Linked DNA regions of Oryctolagus cuniculus. The protein of the gene in region 2 purifies or fractionates together with the protein of the main gene of each other region. This does not show direct contact. Links are inferred from orthologs where the notes say so. Each region holds a gene or a part of one and is shown on either strand. Other genes may lie near its edges. The genes, in order: HS2ST1, SLC7A1, STX4 and STX12.

Region 1 (4,645 bases), on a different chromosome or scaffold from region 2:
ATGATATTCATTCTTAGCAATAAAGGCAATTAAACATTGATATTACAATTTAAAAATTCTATTCAAATAGCTAAATCTTAGTGTAATGTCAATATGAAGTCTCAAGCAGCTGGGTGTAATTAAAGGAGCACTTGACTTGGAATCAAACATACCTGGATTCCAATGCTGGCTCTGCCAATAGTGATGTGGTCTTAGACAAGTTCTATAACCACTGAGCCTGTTCCTGCAACTGCAAAAATAGCTTTCTATAGTGTTCTAGAAAGATAAATAGGTGCATCATAGATGAAAAACACCTAGGATAGAGTCTGATTGTCAAAATAAGCCACCTGCGTTTCTTTCCTAAGAGGTCAGACTACCAACTGGCAATCTCTCTCTTATCATTCCTTGCCTTTTCCAAGACTTTAAAAAGAAAATCAAATGACTGCTAATAGAAACAAAGTTATACATTTTTACTTGCCATGCTTTTGCATTTCCAGATGAAAATACTTCCAGTTTCATACTTGAGGTATTAATTTCCTTGAATTAGTTTTGAGATTCATTTTAACATATATTTATTATTTCTAATGGAATTATTTATTCTAATGCACTCTATTTCTGATGGAATTTCCTTGTTTGCAAAAAATTTACAAGAAAGCATAGTATGTTCTACCTGTGGCTTTCTACAGCTTAAAATAACTGTAAAAAAAAAAAAAAGCTCAGGTTGTATCTATGGAAACCCCTTCAAGTGTTACAGAAAAAAACTTAGATGATTAAAATAAAAAATGTAAACAATGCTAACCCCACCATGATGTTCTGGAGAAATTAACCCCAGAGAATTCCAAATAGCAATACAATAAACAACAGGTACAAATTTTAATACAACTTCCAACTTCCTCTATGAGGAATCATTTTTTTCTGTAAAGCTGGATCATTAATGTGACCAGAACATGATTCTGAATGCTGATGAATGGATTCAAATGAAAAGAAAAAGTATACTGGACAACCTTTACTATTTAAGTGAACATTTTCCCATCTTACAAGGCACAGTAACAAAATTAGAGTAAATAAACTGTATATCTTTTCAAATTTTTGCCCCAGCATTAGTAAGGATTAGTATCTCTTTTGATCTTCCCTCAAACATAGCTGCACTTCAATCATATTTATTAGATACTCTTTGATACACTGCTCTTCAAAATTTCAAGACAATTGCAAAGTCTCTGGAAACAGCTAGCTATAGCTACTGCGTACAAAACTGCAATTATTCCCTAAAAATTAAACAGCACAGCAGCACTTAGTTGTTTCCCAAAGTTACTCTTTAGTCTAAATAATATCGCTGAAGGGATTTGTTTGCTTGTTTCTCAAAACGTATCTAGAAGGGTGCCGAGGTGCAAGTGCATGCAATCCCTTACCTTGCACTGTCTTTCCAGATTCAAATGACAGCCTCTTGAGCTGATTTAAGTGCCATGTGCATTTTTAACTCAAAATTGGTCACTGTCATTCTCTGACTATTCGCTCTCCACACCGAGCCCTTCCAAATGCCAGTTCCATACTAAATCGAAAGAATCTATTATCTATGCTTTTTTCTGTCCTTTCACAACTTCACACGTCAACTTTTTGCACTTCAGACTCCTTCGCCCATTAAAGCACTGTTAACTCTTCAAGGTACTTAAATGTTTACCGTGTAACCTTACTTTCCAATAGTAAACCTCACTACACAGTTCCCCTTCGGCATTCCCTCTTCTAAATTCACATCAACGCTGCCGCGAAGCAACATACGTGCACATCCCTGTTCTGGAGCCCACATGAACCAGTTCGGCGCCACTAAAACAGATCGCAGTCCCCGGACCCTCGTTCAGAACTGCCCTGAAGCTCTTCCCTCGCTAGCCTGCCCTACCTGGCCAGCCTACCTCGACCGCCTGTGGGGCGGTCCCTCGCTCCCCCGGGACCGGAGTGCAACTCACGGCAGCTTGTTTCCCTGACTGCCCCCTCCCCATCATTACCGGCGCCTCCTTCCATTGCTGCGCACCAATATTCCTGCACGACCACCGGTCCTCCCCCATCCTCCAAAAGAAGCTGTGCCCGAGTTCCCATACACGAAACTGGAATACCCCTCTCCGACACTGCCGAGGCGCTCTGCCCGAGCAAGGCTGAGCGTGGCCACCTCTTCCCTCTGAGTTGGGGCTTCTCTCGCCCTCTCTCCGGAATGCCTACTCGGGGGCAGCCCTGGGGCTCCGCGAAGCCCAGCCCTGCAACCTCTGCCCCGTGACCTCGCGAGTCCAGCACGCCACTCAAGCTCAAGTCACCCCATTCTAGGAGCTTGTGTTCTCTTGGAAACCTCTCCCAGCCCGCGAACCAGACCCCGGGCTGCACGAACGCCCACTTGCTCGGGCTGCAGTGCCCCCCGGCCCAGCCCCGTCCACAGCACTCAGCGCGGAGCGGCTCTGCTCCTCACCTAGCTTCGACAGGGACTCCTCCAGCTTCTGGATCTGGTTCTCCAAGAAGAGCATCGCCACCGCGAAGGCCACCACCGCCAGCAGCTGCAACTTGGGCGGCATCATAATCCTGAGGAGCCCCATGAAACCCGCTGCTCGGGATCAAGACATACCGCGGAGGGCGGGGAGCGGGGCCCCAGAGGCGAGGGAAACGCCGGGAGGAGCCCACCGAGCCGGCAGCCAGGCAAGGAGAGCGCGACAGCCAGAGCACCACCGCAGCGACCCCCCTTCTCGCCTCTCCGGTCCCCCCGCCCCCAGGCGCCAGCACTAGCGCCGCCGGTGCCCGCTTCTCGTCAGCCGACTCAACGGCCGCCCCCTCCAAAAGCCCGCGCAGCAAACCCTGCGCGAAGCGGCTGCCGGGCTCTCGCCTCCCTCCACAGCCTCAATCCCCGACCTCCGCGCCCGCCTGCCTGCCCGCCTCCCTCTCTTCCTTCCTTCCCTCCCTCCCTCCTTCGCTCGCGGCCGCGCGCTCCTACACCAGCGCTGCGGCTGCGGCTGCGCCGCCCTCGGCCCCGCCCCCGCCAAGTCCCCGCCCATCCCCCCTCCGCCACCACGCGCACGCATCCACGTACGCTGCTCGGCAACCAGAGGCCCCACCCCGTCCTCCTGCGCGGTTGTGCTTATTGGTCCGAAGAGTCCCTGCTCTTGGCCCTCGGTTCGATTTACGGTTGGCTTCCTCCGCCACAGGGCTCAATCAAGGCCGCATTCGATTGGGTAAACTTGGGGACGGAGGCAGGGCTTAAACTGGAGAAGGCGGGGCCTCCTGGCTGCCTGACGAAATGTCGTGAATGAAAGGATCCCGGGGAAGCACAGAAGTGGGGAGTTTAGAAAAGTGCCTGATTTGGGTAATCCAAAGCACCCGGCGACTGTCTTGATATTTGATCACCTTTAAGTTTTCATATACCCCGAGTTAACACGCGTCCCTTCAGAACAAGAGTTTCGGTGGCAACGGCCTTTAGCGGGCTGTCACGGATCAGGCTGTAGTGTGGACGCCCCAGCTGAGGGGTCCTCTGGGCAGCCCGAGACAGAGCCGAGAGGGTAACGATGGCGACTGGGGCTGGTGGAGGGCTGGGCCCGGCGTTTGGGCTACGGTTGCTGTTGGCCACCGTGCTTCAAGCGGTGAGTGTGGATCTCCTCCGTGGCTGCTCCGGGGCGGGTAGGAAGGATTGCAGAGAAGGAGGAGGAACATTCGAGCCTGTTTGGGATCCACGCTGGAAAAGGACGGAAGATGGGGTTTCCTCAGTGACTGCTGCTGCCGGAATGCGACGTGGCTTAATTCCTTGGTTGATGCTTGCTTGTCCTTCCTCGCTTTGATTTTGCTAGCGGCGTCTTCTGACTTCAGACCGTCTTGGGGGCTTCTCTTAACTCTAGCTGAAACAATCTGAATCACACTGCGGGGAGGGGAAGCAGTAAGGCTTAGGAAGAAGTGAAGACTTTTCAAGCAACAAAAACGCTAGGGAGTATCCTTATGATGGAGCTCCCCTGAGAGGAAAGCCCTCAAGTGTTCGCTCCTGGCTAACGATTTCTGTTGTTTTTTTTTTTTTTTAAACTCTCTCGAGCAGTAATCCCGTTTAAAATCTGGCAGTTTTATTTCGTTTTTTCCTATTACCAAAATAGATGAGTTCTTAATCTTGGAAAGGAGAAGTCCTGATTTTGATTTATTTTCATGCACGAAACAAGTAAATCTTGGTTAACTCCTCATAGTTTGCAATGTATGTTGCTATATGAAGGATAAAATTTTACTGGCGAGAGCTTTTACGTTTGTTAGCTCGTCTTAATTCGTCAAGTGTTCTCCATTAAGCCTGCTGAAAAGTTTTCTCCTGGGAGATCTGGTTTAACTGATGTATCCCAGATGTGGGTGGAGTTAAGGACTGTACATAGGCCTCTATAAACATCTCTGCTTTTCTTTCATCAAGGAATGTGAAACTATCCTGCCTTTTTACTTTTGTTACCCGGCCCCAACTTCTGTAATTAACATTCCAGTCCAGTACTCCATTTTTTAGACTTTTTGATGCTTTAGAAATTACTGGAACACCCCTGCCTGAACTCCTGTTAGGTCATTTGAGTTCATCACTACCACCATGGGAGACAAAAGGAGTAACATTTCAGGTTGCCCTCTCCTAATTTTACTATCTCATAACTTTCACTTGTTTGTGGCTATGTAACCTCCCAAA
Region 2 (4,369 bases):
TCTAAAAGGTCTGGTGACTTTCAAAGGCAGCCGCTGTAGCACAGTGCGATGCCAGCATGTCCCATCAGAGTACAGTCACAGCCCTGGCTACTCCGCACTTTCCACCCAGCTCCCTGCTGATGCGCCCGGGAGGCAGCAGATGATGGCCTCAGTAGCTAAGTCCCTGCCACTCACCTGGGAAGCCCAGAAGGAGCTCCTGGCTCCTGGCTTCAGTCTGGCCTTACCCCAACCGTTGAGGCTATTTAGGGAGTGAACCAGCAAATAGAGGATCTCTGTCACTCTGCCTTTCAAATAAATAAAATCTTAAGAAACAACAATAGTCCATCTTAAACCTAACATGCTCAACCTTCTCATCTCCTTAAGGTTGTGACTCCAGGGCCAGCACTGTGGCATAGTAGGCTAAGCCTCCGCCAGTCTCTATCCTTAATCCATTAACAGGGCCTGTGCTATGGCTGTGGCATAGCAGGCTAAGCCTTCACCTGCAGTGCCAGCATCCCATATGGATGCCAGTTCGTGTCTAGCTCTCTGCTGTGGCCCAGGAAGGCAGTGGAGGATGGCCCAAGTGCCTGGGCCTCTGTACCCACACGGGAGACCCGGAAGAAGCCCCTGGCTCCTGGCTTCGGATCGCTGCCAACTCCAGCCATTGGGGCCATCTGGGAAGTGAACCAGCAGATGGAAGACCTCTCCCTCTGTCTTTCCCTCTCTCTGTAACTCTACCTCTCTAATAAATAAATAAAATCTTAAAAAAAAAAAAAAAAAAAACTCCGGCTGTGCAGTGTGGAAATCTATTTCACCTCTCTTACCACTCACCTAAAGCCCCAGGCCAGTCCTGTGGGCGCACCTTTCACAGTCACCCAGAAGATGCCTCTGGGTAAGATGACACAGAGGCCAAGGCATCTCCCGGGTTAAAGGAAGTAAATTTTTCGCCAAGATTGTGAACACTCTCAGCACAAAAACACGACAAACGTTTAAAGCGATAGATAGCCTAGTTCCCCCGGCTGCAACATCACACAATGACATACGCACCCAAACATCACACCAGGACCCGACAATGTACGATTCGGACGTGTCAGTCAAAGATGAAACAAGTTTCTTTCCCTAACAAGAATGCATTGAGTCATGTCTCAAATTCCTCCTTTTAGGGTTAACAAGCAGCATCTCTAAATACACTGTCAATCAACAGAAAGCATTCATATAAGACATAACGCTGGGACCCCCGACTTAATGACCTAGTTCTGCTGGATTCAGGAAAGAGAAGTTACAGACCTGAACAATCAATAAGCATTTACTTGCTTCCTTCAGAGAATGAAATTTTGTACCAAACAGAATTAAACCTGTGTCTCAACTCAAACTCCCTGAGGTCAACAATCTTGCCTTTCAAGCCTTTTTTCCCCCTCCAGCAAATGGTCATATGCCTAAACAGAAGCCACGTGGCTCCGACTCAGGCAGCTGAGACCACCCCCTCTCCCTACTTACTGAGCCTTTTCCCGTTCGTTTACTCAAAGTTCCTTTGACATCCTTTGAATGTTAGTCAACAAGGAAGCTTTAAGAACGATTTTCTTCACTGTGGATCTTTCCAGTAAGTTTCTCTTCTTACTGGGGCTCAAGACAAGACCTTTTTTTTTTCCTGCCAGAAAGGCGGGTTCGCATAAGAATCGTGGTAATTTCCACTGAGAACAACTGAAAATACCAGGGCGAATACGTGCACCACAGTTTCCTATTATCTGACTGAAACATAAACGTTGAGATAAATCCCTAATAAATTATAACCCGAATTCAACATAGTGACGGCTCCCGGCTGCAGGCTGTCAGACACAGTCCCACCAGCCAGCTTTTAAGGGGCACATTCTGAAGGGGGTGGCGGGGGTACCCACCAGGGACGAAGATCGCAACCCCCCACCCCTACCCCACGCCCGAGACTCGGGTCTGGAACACAAGCCAGCACGTGACAGCACGGCCGTGGGTGTTGGGAAGTGTAGTCTGGTTCACATGTCTGGCTCGCCTACCCGCTCAAGACGCACGCAACTCCGATCTGGCTCCCACGCCTCCCCCCTACCCGGGGAACAGCGCGGCGAGCCGGCCAGCGGCGCGCGCGGGACGGCCGCCTTGACCTGCCCGTGCCCAGGAAGTTTTCTACTACGCAGAGAGGAACACGCGGAGAATAGGTTGTCCTAACGAAGCCGGAAGAACTTCCTCCTCCTGCGAACCATCTGGACGGCTTGGCCAGCCCAGAGTTTTAGGGCCAAGCCGGGTCACCAGGAAGCCCACCCAAAGGAGGACGTCCCCAAGAAACCCCTGGGGACCCAGACTACGGGTGCAGGCGGGCATTCTGGGGGTCTCATGGAATGGGCAGGCGCGCACCGCGACCACCGAGCAGGGCTGCCCAGCGCCGTTTCCCAGGCTAGCCAACGTACCTGCCGCGGGACCACCCTCCCGGGGCGCGGGCGGGGTCCCCGCGGCGGCCGATGACACATCCTCGGACCTCGTGGCGGGGCGGGGTGCTCCGCAACGCGCCATGTAAGGGAAGCTCTCCCGCGCTGCCAGCGGGCTCCGGACGCCTCCTGGACCAGCCCCCGTGCCCACCGCCGGCCCCTTGCCCACCCGGACCACCAGGTGCGTGGCCGGCGCGCGGGGTGGGCATCGCCGGCGCGCCCACGCTGACTCGGGCGGTGTTGCATCATACACCACGCCGTGCCTTTAGGGAACCGAAATGGACTCCGTGGAAGCCACGGCCGCATGGGCACCGCCCCGCGCGCACACCCCCGGGCCCGCCCTGCCCTCGCCCTCCCCGGAGGATGCCAGCGGCGCCCCGGAGCGGGGCTCTCGCCACTCCCGTGCCGCCGCCTGCCCGAGGCCCCACGCGGCCCCGCGGCCCCCTCCAACCCCCGCCAAGGTGACCCAGGTTGTGGAGCTGCCCCGGTGCCAGCGGGAGCGGGCACTCACCAAGCGGGCGGTGGGATGCGGGCAGGACAGCGGGCCGAAGGACGCACGCACGCTTGCACGCACCGACCCGGGGACCCTCGGCCGGAGAGGCGGTGCGGAGGCGCGGGAGCGACGTGGAGCTGCGGTGAGCGCGTGCCTGCCGGCCGCGTGCCGCGCCGCCCGGCTGCTGACTGGCCGCTCGCACCTGCCCGCGCTGACTGAATGGGGCGCCGAGGGCGGGCGGGATCCGGCGCCGGTTTCATCAGCCGCTCTCGCCGCCCGCCCCCCAGCCCGCCCGGCGGCCCTGCCCGTGCCTCGCGTCACAGCCGGGCACCAATGGCAGCGCGGCGCGGCGGCGGCCGCTGGCCCTGAGGCGGCGGCAGAGGCGGGCGCGCCCGTGTGGGCGGGGCGGCGGCGTCTTCGCGCGCGCTGCGGCGGGGACCCGGGGTTCCCCCGGCCGGCAGGCGGGCGGCGCCTCCGGACGCTCCCGCGGCTGCCTTGCGGGCCTGGCCGCCTGTCCGCCAATCGGAGCCCGCGGCGCGACAGCATCCTTGGGTTCCCTGCGGGCCCCGCCGCGCGCGGGCCGGGACTCAGGGCAGCAGGCCGGGCCGCGCCAGCCCTGGCTTAGCGAGCTGCAGTCAGCAGACGCCGCTGGTCTTCCTTATCCGAAATAAAAAGATCTGGGATGCACTATGAGGGTTTTAGAAAGTTAGTTACTGGGGCCGGCGCTGTGATGTAGCGGGTGAAGCCCCTGCCTGTGGTGCTGGCATCCCATATGGACGCGGGTTCGAGTCCCGGCTTCCCATCCAGCTCTCTGCTATGGCCTGGGAAAGCAGCAGATGGCCCAAGCGCTTGAGCCCCTGCACCCATGTGCAAGACCCAGAAGAAGCTCCTGGTTCCTGGCTTCAGCCTGGCTCAGTCCTAGCAGTTGTGGCCATTTGGGGAGTGAACCAGCGGATGGAAGCTTTATCTATCTATGTCTGTATGTCTGTCTGTCTCTCTTTCAAATAAGTATTTTTAAAAAATTTTTTTGAAGTTACTATAGATTTTCATTTCTCTCTCATGGTATTATTTTATTATCGTCCCCTTGCCCATGCTAGAACCTTATCTCCCTGCTGTCGGTGAAGGCCTAATCCACCTGTTGCCAGGCACCTGCACAGCAGGCTGGTGGGCTAATGGCCTCAGCTGCCTTCCCAGTCACTCTCCCAGTGTTGCCAAGAGCGGTGGTCCTGAATCCCACAGTGTTGGTGCCATGAGCTCCCGTGCAGTTGTCTGTCTTTGCTCCAGAAACCAAGAAACACAACCTGTGAAGATCCAGTAATCTGTGACATTGAGTAAGTGGTAGATGACCACCGCGCTCCCCCATATTTCTAAGGAAACAGAAAGGACAAGGGCGGATGGTATCTGCCTGCTTTAAAGCCTTTCCACACCTCCCACCCGCCCCAGC
Region 3 (4,637 bases), on a different chromosome or scaffold from region 2:
ATCCCTCGACCTTTCCACACCTTTCCTTTCTTTCTTTTTTTTTTAAGATTTATTTATTTTACTTGAAAGTCAGAGTTACACAGACAGAGCAGGAGAGGCAGAGAGAGAGAGGTCTTCCATCCGCTGGTTCACTCCCCAATTGGCTGCAACGGCTAGAGCTGCACCAATCCAAAGCCAGGAGCCAGGAGCTTCTTCTGGGTCTCCCACGCGGGTGCAGGGGCCCAAGGCCTTGGGCCATCTTCTATTGCTTTCCCAGGCCATAGCAGAGAGCTGGATAGAAAGTGGAGCAGCCAGGTCTTGAACTGGCACCCATATGGTACGGCAGCACTGCAGGCAGCTGCTTTACCCACACCCTTTCTAACCTCACCTGATAACGTGCAATGCTTATCTTACTCAAAGCAGAAATGAGCAGATCAAGTTATCAAATGGGGAAGCTGAGTCCCAGACGGGAGCAACGAACCATTCATTCAAGCCCATGTGCTGGTTTGGGAGCCAAAAGATGTCTGAAAGCTCTAGGACTGTACCACTCAGAGACAGGGTCTGGGGGGAGGCGGGGACAAGGGGGCATCAACTGCAGGATGCAAGAGCAGAGCGATGCTTCCCCCCACGGTCTCCAGTGGACCCCACTGGCAGGGTGTTCGCCCCCTCACCCCGGGAAAAGCCCCCCACCACTGCGTTTCTTCTGTGGGCTGCTCAGGGCAGCACCGCTCTCTCACACCCTCATTCCCAGCCCCAGGCCAGCAGGGGTCTCAAGGGGAGCGGAGCATCCACAGCCCCTCACACAGACTAAGACACCACTGAGCAGTTTTCCACCTCACTGTCGCTGAACTTGAGAGCACGGACTACCCATAGAGATCATCTCCCCATCCCCCTAGTGCCACCCAATGTACAGATGGAAGATCAAGGCCGGGAACCAAGAAGTGGCCTTGCAGTGGTGTGTCCGTAGCAACTCAGTTCCAGGAAGCAAGACTCCACTTGAACCTTCCGGGGGTCCGGTTACTCACTCCTGGCCGGGCTGAGACTCTCTGAACGACTTTGGGGAGTGCAAATGCCACTAGTACTAGTTAGACCTGCTCTATCTGCAGTCTGTAGGAATCCACCTGGCTCATGGAACGCACCCAGTAAACTATGTATAAATGAAGGAACGTTTGGCGGCTAGGGAAGTGGCAAGGGGAGCCAGCCTGCAGCTTAAGGACCAGGGGACAGGGGCTTTCTCTTCAGATCCACGAAAGCCTAAAACTCTACCATGTTCATGCAGGGCTCATTTTGCGGTAGGCACTGAACTAGGCGCTGGGGGGATCAATGAAAAACAAGGCGGTCTTGCCCTGCCTTAGGTGGGTAGGGGCTGGGGTATTTAAGGGCCGGAGAAGCAGGCGGCTGCACACACTACACTTTCCCCAGCCTGCGCCGCGCTGAGATGGTCTCAGTGCCCGGAAGGCGGTGAGCACAGCGGGGCTGCAGCGCCGGCCGCCCACCGGTCACAGGCTGCGTGCAGGAGAGATTTCTGCTCTGAGGTCACAACCCCACCCCCAGATTCCCTGCCGACAAAACCCTGCAATTCTCTGACGCTGAAGACTCGGCTCGGATTCTTTTTCTGATTTTTCAAGGTCCCACGATGCCGACAGCCCCGAATCCTAAGCCGTCAGTCTGCCCACGCCCCCTGGAGCCAAAAGCAAGAAAGGAGGAATCTGCAAGGGTCCCCGCCACCCCTCTGACTCAAAAGCTCTCTGGGGGTAGTCAGCGCCCCCGCTCCTCCTCGTGGGGTCTGTGGGGGCGTAACTCAGATGCCGGGGACGTCGTGAGGAGAAGGGTGTCCCAGAGTCGGCGTTGACAGAGCCGGGACACGTGACAGCCAAAGCCTCCCGTTCTGCGGTCTCCGCGGCCGGGCAGGTCACGTGACGTGGAGCAGGGCGGGGGGGAGCTCATGGGGTGATGTGAGATGCGGGTCTCTGCGATTACGTACTCGTGACGCATTGCCACCCGCTTTTGGCTGCCAGATTTCCGTTCAAAGAGGCGACGGTTCCGGACTAGGGGGCGGGTTCTCACGTCCAGGCACTTTCGCTTCCGTTCGGGGCAGAGCCGCTTCCGAGCCCCGCCTTTCCCTCGGGCGAGGAAGAGACGCCACCTCGTGCGCATGCCCGGAATTGTCTCAGAGGGGCGGGGCTGAGGCTCAGGGAGCAGGAGGGGGGCAAGAGAAGGGAATTCCAACCTGTGGAACTTTGGGGGTCCCGGAGGTCGGCTGCTTGCCCTTGACTGTGGCTTGTGCATGGGGCTGAGCCTCCGGCGGCTCGTGGGGGCGTTGGGGCCCGCGGGGCGAGGCAGGGGAGTGTCGCAGTGTAAGTGGGGTACGGGAATTCCAAACTTAGAACCTTGAGGCCCTCGGGGCTCCGGCGCCGGGAGGAGGGAGCTCGGGCCGCCATGCGAGACAGGACCCACGAGCTGAGGCAGGTGAGATGTCGGGACAGCAGGGTCGGGGATGGACGGGCGGGCTGGAATGCAGGACTCCCAGGGTAGGGAGGGGTGGTTGGGGGCCAGGAAGGAAAGTCCCGGAAGCCTGTGGATCGTTCGGGAGCGAGAGCCGCCGCGAGGAAGTGGTGCCAGTGACTGTGGCCCTGGCAGGGGGATGACAGCTCGGACGAGGAGGACAAGGAGCGGGTCGCGCTGGTGGTGCACCCGGGCACGGCCCGGCTGGGAAGCCCGGACGATGAGTTCTTCCAGAAGGTAAGGGGGCTGGGGTCTGCAGCCTGGACGTGCGAGGGGGCGGGCGGACTGAGGGCCAGCGCGGGCTGGAGTGCCCCAAATTTCAGCCCCTCTCGGTCGCCCTCCCCAGGTCCGGACAATTCGGCAGACTATCGTCAAGCTGGAGAATAAAGTCCGGGAGCTGGAGAAGCAGCAGGTCACCATCCTGGCCACGCCCCTTCCCGAGGAGAGTGAGTGAAACCCCGGGTCGCAGGACGCATGCGCTACCCGAGGGATTGTGGGGGTTGTAGTTCCACGCAGGTGGTGGCCCCGGGGTGGTTTGCTGAGGCAGGGGCTCCCCCAGGAAGTTGTGGTCTTTTCTTGTTCAGGCATGAAACAGGACCTGCAGAACCTGCGCGACGAGATCAAACAGTTGGGAAGGGAGATCCGCACGCAGCTCAAGGGTGAGCTCCTAGGAAGGCGGGCAGATTCTTCCTCTGATCCTACTGATCTGATCCTGGGATAAGTGGAGAGTGTGTGGCCCAGAGAGGCAAGTGATATATGTAGGTCACACAGCAGGCCTGTGTTTAAAAAAATATATATCTGTCTGTTGGCTTCCACGCCGTGTTCCACAGCCCGTGCCTTTATTTACGATGAAACTGTTGAGTCCTGTAGTTCTTGGTGCCTGTCCAGCGTGCGTTCTTTGCAAAGGCAGATGGGGTTCTGCATACCTGTGGGAGCTCACTGATAGAATTCAAAGAGAAATAAACTTTCTCCTGTCAGAGGCTTAGCATGGGTCATTTTACAATGAAGCTGCGTTTCCCTTACAAATCACGTGGAGACAGGTCCCTCCTCATTGTGTGGCTGGGGGAGGGACCCTGTTCTTGTGCCCTGGTCCCCGGTTTCCAGAAATCACGAGTCAACACGCCCCTACCTCCTCCCTTCCTGCCTTGTGTCTTCCCGCAGCCATCGAGCCCCAGAAGGAAGAAGCTGATGAGAATTATAACTCGGTCAACACAAGGATGAGAAAGACTCAGGTGGGTTTGCTTCTCCTAGAACCAGGGCATTTTCCTAAGTGTTTGATCAATCGCGAGACGACAGATGTCTGTTGAAGGCAAGGCCCTTGGAGACCACAGGCCCCAACCCTTCTTCAAAGGGGCAAACAGGCGTGGAAGAAGATTCTCACTCAAGGTCAAGAACGCAGGTGTCCTAATTCCCAGTCCCTTGCACCCCCTGCTTTCTTCTCCTCTCCATGAGGAGCTGCTGTCCCCCAGGGTGTGACCCAGCCTTGGCTGTTTCCTCGGGAACCAAGATGGGAGCTTGAGTTGAGTAGGGGACAAAAGACATTACTCATGCAGGCGTTGGTGGCTAATGGCTCTTCAGGGAAGGAGTTGGAGAAGTCACAAGTGCCTGGTCAGTTTCCTGCCTATGTGACTGGGCCATCCTCGGCCTGCAGGCAGAATTGGAGAAGTCAGGAATAGGAAGTGCCCTGGGCGGGGACATCTTAGTAAGGAGTTTTCAGGTCATCTGACTGCTGTCCCTGGCGCCCAGCGAGGAGTGGTTTGGGGGTTCTCGGAGGTCAGGGTTGTTGTAGGTTGGGCCCAGAGCTCAAAAAGACCCCAGATGGAAAATGAAGATGGTTGAGGGGCAGCTGTTGGCCAGGAGAGCAGGTGTGTCTCTCAGGGAGGGTCTTGGAGGAATGAGCAGAGTGGAGCCCTCAGGAGAAGGAATAAGGTGGGACAGAGGCTCCAGATGGGGCATTGAAGGGGTTGCCTGTGGTGGCCATGGGTGTGAGAGGCCCAGACAGACCTGTCGCATGTAGCGGCCTGGTGACGTCTGCGCATGCGTGCACAGCACGCTTGCCGTCGACGCAGCCGCGCTGGCTGGCATTTGGCTGGTCTGCCTTCAGTGATGACTGTGCGCCAGCCCTGAGCTGTTCAGATAGAGCAGTGAACCTG
Region 4 (3,564 bases), on a different chromosome or scaffold from region 2:
ACTTTAAACCCAGATTAGGAACATGTACCCGAACAACTGATCAGCTCGAATAGATACTTTTCATTAAATCTTAAATCACATGTGCAATTTTTACTTTCCAGTTAAATATAGTGCCAAAATTTTGCAAAACAGAGAATAAGCTTCTTAGAAATTCAAATTAAAATATTAAATAATAAAAATTCCTGGCCTATTATACAGTTTCTGACATACTCCAATTATGCTGGGCGCCAGAAAGCAATTCATGTTAGTTGCTAGGAAAAAGGTAAATTTTGTATACACATAAAAAGACAATATTACGAGTCTGTAGTGTTGCCTGTCAAAAAAGAATACCTAGAATGGAATTTTCAATAAACTTTTGGGATACAGGGCAATCAGAATACAAGAGAAAGCAAAATCCACATAAATTAATTCCTAATTGGAGAAACCAATAAAATGTATACATATATTGATAAATACTGTCTCCATGGGTCACTAATTCCAAGGACTAGTTAGTAGTTAGTTTCTAACTAAATTGTTACAGGACGTTCTGGTATGTGCACTCCTCTTGTGATCAGTTTGTTCTGGCAAGACTCCAACCAGCACTTGCCCTTGAAAACAGTTCAGCAGGAGAAGGCTTTGAGGCAACCACACTTCATTTCCCATACACTACCCAGAAAACAATTATCAAGACTGCAATAATCACAGACAGGACAAGCACCAGGATGCACATCTTCTTGCGAGATTTTTTCTGGGGAAAGAAATATGTGAAGAAGACACTCATGAAACAAAAGTTTTAATATCTAAGACTCCAAGAGTGCTTCATAAATCTGCCTCCTTGTAATACAAAATTAACTCTATGCATGCACAAATAGGCAGAGAACATTCACAAAATCTCAACAGTCATCAGCACTAGCACTAGGCAGCAGTGTAAGTTTTAATTCTAGGTCCTTAAATACAGTTTTGCAAAGGAGACATACCTATTATGATAGAAATTATTTATAAAAATAATGCTATTGGGGCTGGAGCTGTGGCGTAGCGGATAAAGGTGCTGCCTGCAGTGCCAGCATCCCATATGGGCGCTGGTTCAAGTCCCGGCTGCTCCACTTCCAATCCAGCTCCCTGCAAATGCACCTGGAAAACCAGCAGAAATGGCCCAAATGTTTAGGCCCCTGCACCCACGTGGGAGACCTGGAAGAAACTCATGGCTCCTGGCTTCAGATCAGCCCAGCTCCGGCCATTATGGCCATTTAGGGAGTGAACCAGCGGACAGAAGACTCATTCATTCATTCTCTCTCTCTTTCTGCCTCTGCCTCTCTGTAACTCTACATTTCAAATAAATAAATCTTTAAAGGGGGAGGGGACAATGTTGTGGCATAGCAGGTAAAGCTGCCACCTGCTGACACTGGCATCCCATATGGGTGCTGGTTTGAGTCCCCACTGATCCACTTCCAATCCAGCCCCCTGCTAATTTGCCTGGGAAGGCAGCAGAAGATGGCCCAAGTACTTGGACCCCTGCACCCACATTGGGAGACTTGTAAGAGGCTTCTGGCTTTTGGCTTCAGTTTCAGCCATTTGGAGAGTGAACAAATGGATGAAGAGTTCTCTCTCTGTGTCTCTCCCTGACACTCTGTAACTCTGCCTTTCAAACAGATAAATCTTGAAAAAATAATAATATTTGTCATATGTATTTTAGTAAGTTTATACCTATTATAAAATTTAATATGCATTGGGAAAAAAAAGGCAAGCAGAAAAATAATCACCCATAGATCAAACTGTTGATGTTTTGATTGTAACTCCTGATCTTTTATCTATGCATACTGTCATTTGCATACATACTGTATGATGTTTGATTTTTTCTCACTTAATGTTTTATATAAGCATCTTTGTTAATACAATTTTTTCATAAATATAACTAAATCCTCACATCATATAATACCAAGTGGATGTATATAAAATTATTCCTTACCATTAGACACTAAAGACATCATGTAGTTTATAAAGGTAAAATTATTATTGAACACAATTTCTTTAAGAACAGGTAGTCTAAGAACATGGAAAATGACTAAAACACGACTTCCAAAAAGCCATGAAAACCAAACTGAGAGGAAAGGAGAAGGACCTCACGTTCACGGTATTTTCACACTGAGATAGAGACCCAGATAAATCATAAAACCAGTTTCAACTAGTAAGTAGAACTTTACTTTGCAGGAACAGTTCCAGTATGACTAAGCTCTACTTATTCAGATATAAATAACAGTTGAAGTGGTCTGTGTCCATCTTCTGTGCCAACAGTCAACATAAATCCTGTGAAACCCTGCTTTAACTGTACTTCTTCCTATCCTAATGGAAGCACATCTCAGCTGATTAGGATGTAAGATTAGCCTTACACCATTTATATTCTAGGTTTCATGCTAGCTTATGGGGTTATTAGTTTTGCAGCTCTGAGGTTTCTGTATATGTTTATTCATGGTCTGATGACATTTTGTAGATCTCCCTGCAAAGGAAATACTTGGGACTGGACCTGCAAGTATGACTGCTTGTCTCCAGCTTCAGCCTAAGCAAAAAGCTGGGCTGTGCTCAGAGTCAGTGCACTGTGGTGGCCCATGAAGTCTGCAGTACAGTGACTTTCTTTGGTTCTTGCTTTTACCTGATAGTAAGCAGCTCGCTGTAACTGATCAGTTGCTCTTTCAACGTGCACCTCTGAACTTTCCACATTGGCTTCTATGCTGTCTGCAAAGAGAAGGATGATGCATATTTTAGCACACCCAGATGTGTCAAGGCTAAAAACTGAACCTACTTCTGATGTTATGGGTTCCTGTTTCATTACTATCCCAGTTAAGAAATCAGAAGTTACTACCTGGATAAGAATATAGCCCTATTCTTAGAAATAAACACTGAAGTATTTAGGGACAAGGGACTCATCCATAAATGCTTCAGGAAAAATTATGTATATATGAATACATTCTCTCTGTCTCTGTCTTGCTCTCACTTGTACGTGCATATGCCCGTGTGCACGCAAACACACACACACACACAGAGTACATCAAAAAGCAAATGACGGCCGGCGCCGCGGCTCACTAGGCTGATCCTCCGCCTTGCGGCGCTGGCACACCGGGTTCTAGTTCCGGTCAGGGCACCGGATTCTGTCCCGGTTGCCCCTCTTCCAGGCCAGCTCTCTGCTGTGGCCAGGGAGTGCAGTGGAGGATGGCCCAAGTGCTTGGGCCCTGCACCCCATGGGAGACCAGGAGAAGCACCTGGCTCCTGCCTTCGGATCAGCACGGTGCGCTGGCCGCAGCGCACCACCCGCGGCGGCCATTGGAGGGTGAACCAACGGCAAAAGGAAGACCTTTCTCTCTGTCTCTCTCTCTCACTGTCCACTCTGCCTGTCAAAAAAAAAAAAAAAAGCAAATGACATAGAATGTTAACAAAAAGTAAACCTAAGTAAAGGTTAAAAGGAGTTCCTTGCAGTATTTTTATTTTTACAGCTTTTTATGAACTTGAAATTATTTCCATATAAAAAGCTTAAAAAAGAGTAATTGTGCAAGTTTCTGGAGATAAAAGTTGGGAAGCTAGTAGCTATTAAAT

Evidence for each region.
Region 1: the proteins of SLC7A1 (region 2) and HS2ST1 purify together in Homo sapiens (co-immunoprecipitation; 3 studies listed by BioGRID and IntAct, counting the BioPlex papers as one, with this or other methods). This does not show direct contact. The link is inferred for Oryctolagus cuniculus from reciprocal best matches to the Homo sapiens genes SLC7A1 and HS2ST1.
Region 3: the proteins of SLC7A1 (region 2) and STX4 purify together in Homo sapiens (co-immunoprecipitation; 3 studies listed by BioGRID and IntAct, counting the BioPlex papers as one, with this or other methods). This does not show direct contact. The link is inferred for Oryctolagus cuniculus from reciprocal best matches to the Homo sapiens genes SLC7A1 and STX4.
Region 4: the proteins of SLC7A1 (region 2) and STX12 purify together in Homo sapiens (co-immunoprecipitation; 3 studies listed by BioGRID and IntAct, counting the BioPlex papers as one, with this or other methods). This does not show direct contact. The link is inferred for Oryctolagus cuniculus from reciprocal best matches to the Homo sapiens genes SLC7A1 and STX12.

The regions. Positions count from the first base shown.
Region 1 is NC_091438.1:84,223,255-84,227,899, forward strand, and holds the start of HS2ST1 (heparan sulfate 2-O-sulfotransferase 1), read right to left. Parts: upstream 2,974-4,645; 5' UTR 2,556-2,973; coding exon 2,432-2,555; intron 1-2,431. UniProt on the Homo sapiens protein: Catalyzes the transfer of a sulfo group from 3'-phospho-5'-adenylyl sulfate (PAPS) to the 2-OH position of iduronic acid (IdoA) or glucuronic acid (GlcA) within the heparan sulfate (HS) chain and participates in HS biosynthesis.
Region 2 is NC_091440.1:84,977,137-84,981,505, reverse strand, and holds the start of SLC7A1 (high affinity cationic amino acid transporter 1), read right to left. Parts: upstream 3,083-4,369; 5' UTR 2,944-3,082; intron 2,438-2,943; exon of another isoform or gene 2,415-2,437; intron 1-2,414. UniProt on the Homo sapiens protein: High-affinity, low capacity permease involved in the transport of the cationic amino acids (arginine, lysine and ornithine) in non-hepatic tissues.
Region 3 is NC_091450.1:6,132,108-6,136,744, reverse strand, and holds the start of STX4 (syntaxin-4), read left to right. Parts: upstream 1-1,555; 5' UTR 1,556-2,418; coding exon 2,419-2,448; intron 2,449-2,619; coding exon 2,620-2,721; intron 2,722-2,830; coding exon 2,831-2,930; intron 2,931-3,068; coding exon 3,069-3,143; intron 3,144-3,645; coding exon 3,646-3,716; intron 3,717-4,637. UniProt on the Homo sapiens protein: Plasma membrane t-SNARE that mediates docking of transport vesicles. Necessary for the translocation of SLC2A4 from intracellular vesicles to the plasma membrane.
Region 4 is NC_091438.1:143,809,137-143,812,700, forward strand, and holds the end of STX12 (syntaxin-12), read right to left. Parts: intron 2,710-3,564; coding exon 2,627-2,709; intron 1,111-2,626; coding exon 976-1,110; 3' UTR 757-975; downstream 1-756. UniProt on the Homo sapiens protein: SNARE promoting fusion of transport vesicles with target membranes. Together with SNARE STX6, promotes movement of vesicles from endosomes to the cell membrane, and may therefore function in the endocytic recycling pathway.